Linked DNA regions of Neodiprion lecontei. The protein of the gene in region 1 purifies or fractionates together with the protein of each later gene. This does not show direct contact. Links are inferred from orthologs where the notes say so. Each region holds a gene or a part of one and is shown on either strand. Other genes may lie near its edges.

Evidence for each region.
Region 2: the proteins of kinesin-like protein KIF13A (region 1) and disks large 1 tumor suppressor protein purify together in Drosophila melanogaster (affinity purification with western blotting; 3 studies listed by BioGRID). This does not show direct contact. The link is inferred for Neodiprion lecontei from reciprocal best matches to the Drosophila melanogaster genes Khc-73 and dlg1.

The regions. Positions count from the first base shown.
Region 1 is NC_060261.1:13,225,738-13,229,665, forward strand, and holds the start of kinesin-like protein KIF13A, read left to right. Parts: upstream 1-1,183; 5' UTR 1,184-1,410; coding exon 1,411-1,468; intron 1,469-3,928.
Region 2 is NC_060260.1:7,310,052-7,313,979, reverse strand, and holds the start of disks large 1 tumor suppressor protein, read left to right. Parts: upstream 1-1,405; 5' UTR 1,406-1,420; coding exon 1,421-1,736; intron 1,737-3,928. UniProt on the Drosophila melanogaster protein: During embryonic development, some isoforms are essential for proper neuronal differentiation and organization. Required for cell polarity; maintenance of apicobasal polarity.

The DNA.
Region 1 (3,928 bases):
TCTGATTGATCATTCCATTCTTATGCTGTGAGTAATTTTGCTTGCCGCCTATTTAACTTGCTTTTTCTAGCGCGAATTATGCATAACAATAGAGTTGTAATATACACTATTTTGTTTCATATTATTTCTGAAATACTGAATACTATTAAATTAGCACGATACACTTTTACAATTAGAGGTTGAGTAGTATATGTTTTCTGTAGTAAAATTGGTGAAAAAACATTTGCCACTATTATTGAACACCTATATGTGAAAATTTCCAAGAAATTTACGAGACGAATGATTCAAATTTTGTTTTCAGCACTTTTAAATGATTCTAACACTTTCCAGATGTTTTAGAGCTCCGATCAAGATATTGAAGTTAAAAGTGAATGTCGATACAAAATTCCTAGAGAATCAATTGACAATTACACCGACAGATGCTGAGAACATTTCAAAAGTTTTGTTGCAAAAATTCAAGAAAGTTAGAAAAAGTTAGAAAAAGTTAGAAAAGGTACTGAACTCCTGAGAAATTACCTATTGTCCCGAAATCTTCGTGAAACTTCGTATGCCATTATCTGGAGCCTTTTTACAAAATGTTTATCAAAACTCTGTTGATGTTCGAATCGCGTAAAAGTCATCAAAGTATAATGAGAAATAGTCAGAATTTATGGAACTTGTTTAGCGCTTTTAAAATCTGCGAGAACTTCATCGGAAAACTCGAAAATATCAGTTGAAAATAATTCCGCGACGCATTACAATCTTCGATAAGAATCCCGGAAAGTTCCTTAATTAAAAAGTAAACCAAAGGGGATGAGGGAGTGAATTGCTATTCAATTTTACACGTCCAGAGTTCACTTCTCCTAGTGTAAATATTACGAAAAAATAGAAGTCTGACTGTTTTACGGCAAGATGCCTGTAGAATAGCCAAAATAATTGTTAGCTACCGCTGGCTACGGATGTAATCTTAAAATATTTAGATGTACCCATCATAGTGTAAGAAAAAGACTCAGTCGGTAAAGGAAGCATTTTTATATACTCTCGGAGCATGAATGATCCAATCTGATCTACAATCCCACAGAACCTGTAACAGAACTGACAGAACGTTCATTTCGTATTGCTCGACGTATATTGGTCACGAGCCTCGCGGGTGGGGGGTCGAACAGGCAGAGCCGCGGCCGACGAAAACCGAAACTCCGGGGGTGGCAAGCGAAGCAATATGGCGAGATGTGTCGTCGACGTAGGGACGGTGAGGTGTCTAAGTGAAAGAATGGTAAAGATGCAGAGAGAGTCGCGAAATGGGTTGATAATGATGTAGTGGATCGTCGAGAGTGCGGTGAACATTTAACAAGTGTAAATAGAATCAAATCCGTTCGTCCCGGTGTTCCGTGCCCTATAAAATAAAAAAAAAAAAAACGGTGCTGCTGAAACATGTCTTCTACGGATAAAATAAAGGTCGCCGTTCGGGTTCGCCCGTTCAATCGCCGAGGTTGGTAAAAAGATACAACAGAATTTGCAGCGACGTTCGTCCACAGATTTTGCAATTGCAGCGTCGGTAATCCGCGACGTTAAAGATCCATTAAAATCCACATTAACCTGCTGAATCAAATACTGGTTCGCTGTACAATCGGGCAGCGCGCGGCGGCGGCGGCGGCGACGGTTCTCCGCCAGCGCCGTAGATACTTTCCGAGAAGTATATCATTGATTTCGCATCCTAAACCGACGAAACTGGCATCGCCAGGAGATTGACAATTATTGTTTTCCACATAGCATAGCTGAGTTCTGAACTGAACATTTCCGTTCGATCTGTTGTGTGGAGCGAGAAATCCAGGCCTCGTAATTTCAACCTACAATATTTATTTTGCGCACACACAACTTGAACCTAACATTATCTATATCGGCGCTTCAAACTTCGTTCACTTGTGATTACAAATAACTGCAAACAGCCACAACCACATTCACTAATCGCTACCGCTTTCCCCTGTATCTTTATATCGGCCTCTGTACTTCAGGCAGAAGAGAAAAAACACCGATCTGACGCGTGGTGCTGGTTGAAAGCGTATTTTTTACGCACGCGAATCGCGTCGTAACGTTTCGATGAGTTATTATATTCATCCATGAGTCTACGGACGTCAGGCCTACTTTCTGTCACCCGCCTGGCTTTGTCCTTTTTTTTTGGTAATCTTCAACGAACATAGCTCTCGGTAGTAGGCAATTCTAGTCGATTTGTCTGTTTCATGCCGATCGGACTGCTCGAAACAATAGCGTAATGATTCGTGTTTTGAACAGTTCGAAATGCTTCAACAGTCCGGACAACTTCAGAGTGCTCTTCCAGCCCTCGAGCACAATGACAACGGTCATACTACAAAAATAATGATAAAAAACCGCCTTTAGAATAGACGTCTGCGAGCATTTCAATTCGAATTTATGATAGAAAGAGTTCAGCACAACGGAGCCATGTGCAACGTGAACAAATAAGCGAAAATAATTGAAAATCGCAATTGTATCAAACTTTTGAATTCTCAGTTATGTTAGGTAAACCATAAATTTGGTTCTGAATAAACCGAAATGAATCGTTTTCAATTCCTTAACTCTTACAAACTAATCTTAATGTTAAATATTCTAATTTCGGTTGTGTTTCGTTTGGTCAATGTCACAAACTTCAATTTACGAGAAGAGTATCACACCTCCAGGTCATGGATTCTGCTGAAACTTCTAAGGATGTTTTTCTGGCCTAAAAGATGTACTAATCTTCTTTTAAAATTTGGATCAGGTTTTTAAAAATTCACAGTTACTTCACTACGACTCTGACATAATATATTAGTTCGCACTTGATTTGTGGTGGAATACTATCGCTTTGAAGGTTCATGAAAGCGCAATGAAAATTAATATTTAAGACAACAACATATAACAAGTAAACTGCTGATATAATCGATTGTGACTAACGTGAAGAAGGGCCTATTAGACGAAAGTTCAAATCACAGGCTTCGTATTTTAGACCAAGGAAATGACCCTAGAAGTTTCAGCAGAATCAATCATCTAGAGGCTTTATCGAGAGCATTATACACTCCTTGTCAGCGTGTAAAATAAACATGAAATAGTCAAAAATGCGAATTTAACGATTCGCGGACTGTCTGAGGCCCCGTGGCTCGTCCGTCCGGCATAGATGGTGTATAATAAATACACCGCGACATCTGATTATCACTTCACCTGCCTTCCGAAGGCCACCGACCAAGCAACCGACGACACGTTGTTCCAGCCTTTACAATGAGTGATTCAATGTCGGCGCGGTAAACTGTTTACGTAAAAATAAATAAATTGCGCTAACCTGATGAATCGAAACTACCTGCCCTGCCTGTATAGCCGCTTTTGTATCCCCATATATACATACACACACACGGATACCCACATATCTACGTAACAACACAGTATATAAGCTCTGTACTCTGACCCTGTAACGCGATTTGTATATATCACAAGGTGTTTCAAAACAGATAACGTCAGATTCAAGTGCAGCAAGATTACTTTTTATTACAGTTATAGTATACAGTCTGAATTTATATGCAAGGGAAAAATGGTTGATCTTCTCAGTTTAAGAATTCAAAAAAGGTGGGCAGAAAATCGATTCTTTTTAATCACATTGTATACAGAGTCACAATAAAAATTTTCTTAATTGACCAAATTTGACGTTGGTTTTTGTCAAATTCGTGAAAATTAGATCACATAATCGACTGCATAATCTTCAGTTTTATCGAGTGATATTTTGTTATCTTGGGTAGCACCTGGTATCTGAGAAATTACAACTATAATTTTGGCGTTTATTTCCTTGATCATTCATGACTTTGAGAACCTGAAGTAGTTGTTCAGTGACTGATAATATTACCAGCGATAGATAAAGGTTATTTTGATATAAGACCTGAAGCGCAGGCTTTGCACCGAAATAAGGTTC
Region 2 (3,928 bases), on another chromosome or scaffold:
TTCGTTCAAAAACACGCTTCCTTACTCTCGCCTTGAGGATAAATTTATCGGAGTCGTAGAAATAAATCTTCCTCAGAACGTCGCCGACCGCTCCGCCCTTTCCATCCCCATTTTTTCACATGTCTACAAGGACATGCCCAACGCACAACCCGGCAGGACGGCTCCGAACTTATATATTTGTATTCACGCCGGATAACCCGCAGCCAAGTTATAAACGCGTTCATGATGTTGTTACGAGCACTAAAAACAAAAATAATAAAACTTTCTCTTCGTTTTCTATAACGGCAACATAATATTTCGACGTCGATGTCATTTTTCTTCATCGTCGTTTCGAACGCCAATCAACTACTTCGCGTTTACGATCGAGTCGTCAAAAAATAACGAACGAATCGAAGAAGCGTAAAATGCCGGATACTCGTGGCTGAATATCCGCGTTATCACCATTGAAAATCGTTCTCTCTCTATTCACCGCGCTTTTACTTGCATGAAATAAATAAATAAATGAATAAGATTTTCCACCGTTCTGCAGTCTTTACTCGAACGAAGTAGGGCGGAAGGTGAATGTTGCTCCAAGAATGGGGGAGAATTTGTGTAACTTGTTGTACCAGATTCGACCCTAGGCAGTGGAATTGACCAAGTTTTAATTGCGTGTCCTGCGAATTACGGGAGAGGGATTAAAAGGAGTCTATCTCTCGCACGTGTGGGTATCAGGAGGGCTGTGTTTCTACGGTTTTGTACAATTTATGGAAAATCCCTGAGTGTCGGGGCGAGGTTTTCACCCCTGGTAGATGGTTCCTCGCGGGATACAATTTCATCGCAGATTTTACTTCCAGACACCTGGTCGCTGAAATGTTTTCCCCCTTTCCTTGTACAAAGGCTGCGTGAATACGACGTGAAATTATTTGCCCAACCCTGAATGGCGATCGTTCAGCTGAAAAATTCTCAGGGAAAGCGACGAGATTCTTTGCATTGTTAATTGATCAGCGCTTAGCGCTCTTTGGTACTCTCAAAGTATCTGAAAAAGATTCTTCAATTATAAATTACAGCGGGAGTAAATCCCAGCTTATTTTCTATTTCGTTGATCCGTAATACGAGAACAGAAGCCTCCGGTGGATGAGACGAACAGACGTAGATGAGAACTTGCCAAATTATACTCAAACAGTCTGGAGAGTTCGGAATTCTTTCCACGAACACACGAAAAGTCAGAATACCAGTCGAGAATGACTCGAATGAAAAGGGCTCTGCGAAGATGAAGGTAAACCGAGGATGCGGAAGGTCCGAATCGTCGCTGACTCGTCGCAGCGAGTCCTGAAGACGCTCTTCCAGTGCGGTGGTTAAACAGTGTCGAATAGTGCGTTATCCGGTGATGTATCACGGAATATCGGTGGAGCATATAATCGATGACTGCGTTTCGGCGAGAATGACGGTTCCGTCGGGGGAAAACGTTCCACGGGTTGACATGGCTCTATTCGGTATGGTCTGGCTGCTTCGCGTTCGCTCGGAGATGCGCAGATGCGCCAAGTGCAGGCGTGAAGAGATTTTGGCAGCCCAGCAGGAGCACCAAACCAGCGTACAGGATTCGAGGTCCACTATCCACCAGCCGAACTCGGCTACTCACCAGGCTTCCGACACCCTCAACACTTCCGCCACCACCCTCTTCACCCTCGACACACCCGGAGCCTCTGGTCCTGCTGGCAGTTACTGCGAGGTGCACGGATATATCCCTCCGAAAGAAGGTATCGCCACTCTCGATTTCAGAAATCCTCCCGCGAGGAAAGTATCCCAGGTCGATCTCTGAAAGTAGACTAAAAACTAAGCGACGCCTACTTTTCTTTTCTTTTTTTTTTTTTTTTCTTTCACGTATGCCATTAAACGCCTTAAGGGGGTGAAACCACCCTTCAAAGCAAGGCACGCAAGGACGATTTGTTAGCTCGTTTTTTTATTTTTTTTTATTTTGTAATTGAGAAAATAACATTTTTCATTTCTCGTTGCGAGTTCTTGTGGGTGAAACAGCCTTTAAAGCGTTTAACGGTAAATACAAAAAATACGCTTAGCTTTTAGTCTACTATAACATATTTATTAAAAAAGAAATCAAATCGGTGAGATCGACCTGGGATACCTTCCTTGTCAGTCTGACCGTAAGTTTGTCATCTCGGGATGAGAAATTTAGCGAATTAAGCTTTTCAGTTGCAGTATTTTTTTCGATCACAAAGCATGTTTCACCTTGCCAATCCTCAGATCTGTAGCTGAAGTTAATGTTTCTTTCCAAGTCAGGGAAGGAAATGAGAAATTAAAGATTTCATCTCATATTTATTTCAAGTCGAATTGAGATGTGACAAGGGTGAAGTTTTTTCAAATTCTGTTAATGGCCACCCCAGTAAACAACACGGAACTTTCTCATTCCGCATTGTCTGTTCGTTGAATTTATGAAATCCCTCAGTTTGACTTGTAAATGTTAATCGATACGATATGCAAATTTTACGTTTTATACAGCCAAAATAAATTCAAATTAAATTTGAATAAATTATACCCGATGCGCAAAGAATGCGTGTCGAAATGAATTTAAATGTATTCAAAACAAAATGGATCTCTGTTATAGTCTGGTAACGTATATATACACAGCTCTTAAACTCGGAAGTGGTATTTTACACAGCTGCCTCGGAATTCAAGGGTGTACATGCGGGGTCGTACTTGAAAAATCCATGCATTTAAAGCGAACAAAATTATTCTCCATGTAGGAATAGATACACCCTTAAATTCATTTAGAATGTATGAATACCGAATCATCTGATACCTGTATGCCAATTCTACGTCGGAAATTTCGTCTTGTTTTGTATTTCGGGACGCCGTTAGGTGAACTCGTTCGCGAAGGTGACTCACGTACGTAAACAATTATGTAGCGTGCCCAGTTTCGCTACTCGAGTTTCAGTCTCGAATACCGAGCTGCGACGAACGGACGCGGAAGAATTTTTCCACTCATTAATAGTAATTGCAGTGATCTTTTGTCGAAGGGACTTATTGTTTCACAGTCTTACTGTGATTGTAATTAAATAAGATTGGTAGTGTGTGTCAAGTGTTCAGTGGCAATTGCAGTTATCCATCTGAAGTGAGAAAATTCTGCAGATCATTCCACCTCCGAGGTAATCAGTTCACGAGTAGATCGTAAACAATAAAATTTCAACTAAGTTACAAAACTGCGTTACGATAGTTTCGAGAGTATATTGAAAAGATTTTGTTATCGCTTTCTTCTCGTTGATCGTTATTACATGTATCGGCAATTTTGACGAATCAAGCTTGACTAAAGTCTCAAATTATCGCGAGTACTGGGCTTTAATAATGAATAAATATGCCATCAGGCACCAAGAACCGACGATTTGAGTTATATTCGATCAAACTTGATCCATCGAAATTACAGGTAAATATCACAACCGTGGCTGAATCGATGCGCTCCTCCAACTCATTTCTCGCTTGATAATTAATAGGCTCGAACTACGAAACGTGTTTATCGCAAACGTGACTAGAGGCAGGGCTGCGTGAGATGCAGCGTCGGCTTTGTTTTGGCGGATCGCATTGTCTACCTTGTAGCAACTAGGTTGCATATAACTTGCGTATGCGCTTGTCTATGATCTTCCTACCTATCGCAAAGGGAGGCTCTACCTGACACTGAACTGACACGAATAGAACTAGGCGACGATGTCTTCGTCACGTTGCTGCATCGGACGTTCAAATCTGAAGGTATGTCTGCGAACGCGTCTGCATTCACATCCGGTGCATACTTCTAGTCAAATTGACGTAACGAACGGCGTAAATCAAGTGGATCGAGCAGCGTGGGAAACATTCTTAGCGAAATATTTTCACTTGTGGGCAATATTAATCGCTTGGATTCTGCAGGAATTATTTAAGATTAAAAATTGAGATTACGAACTCG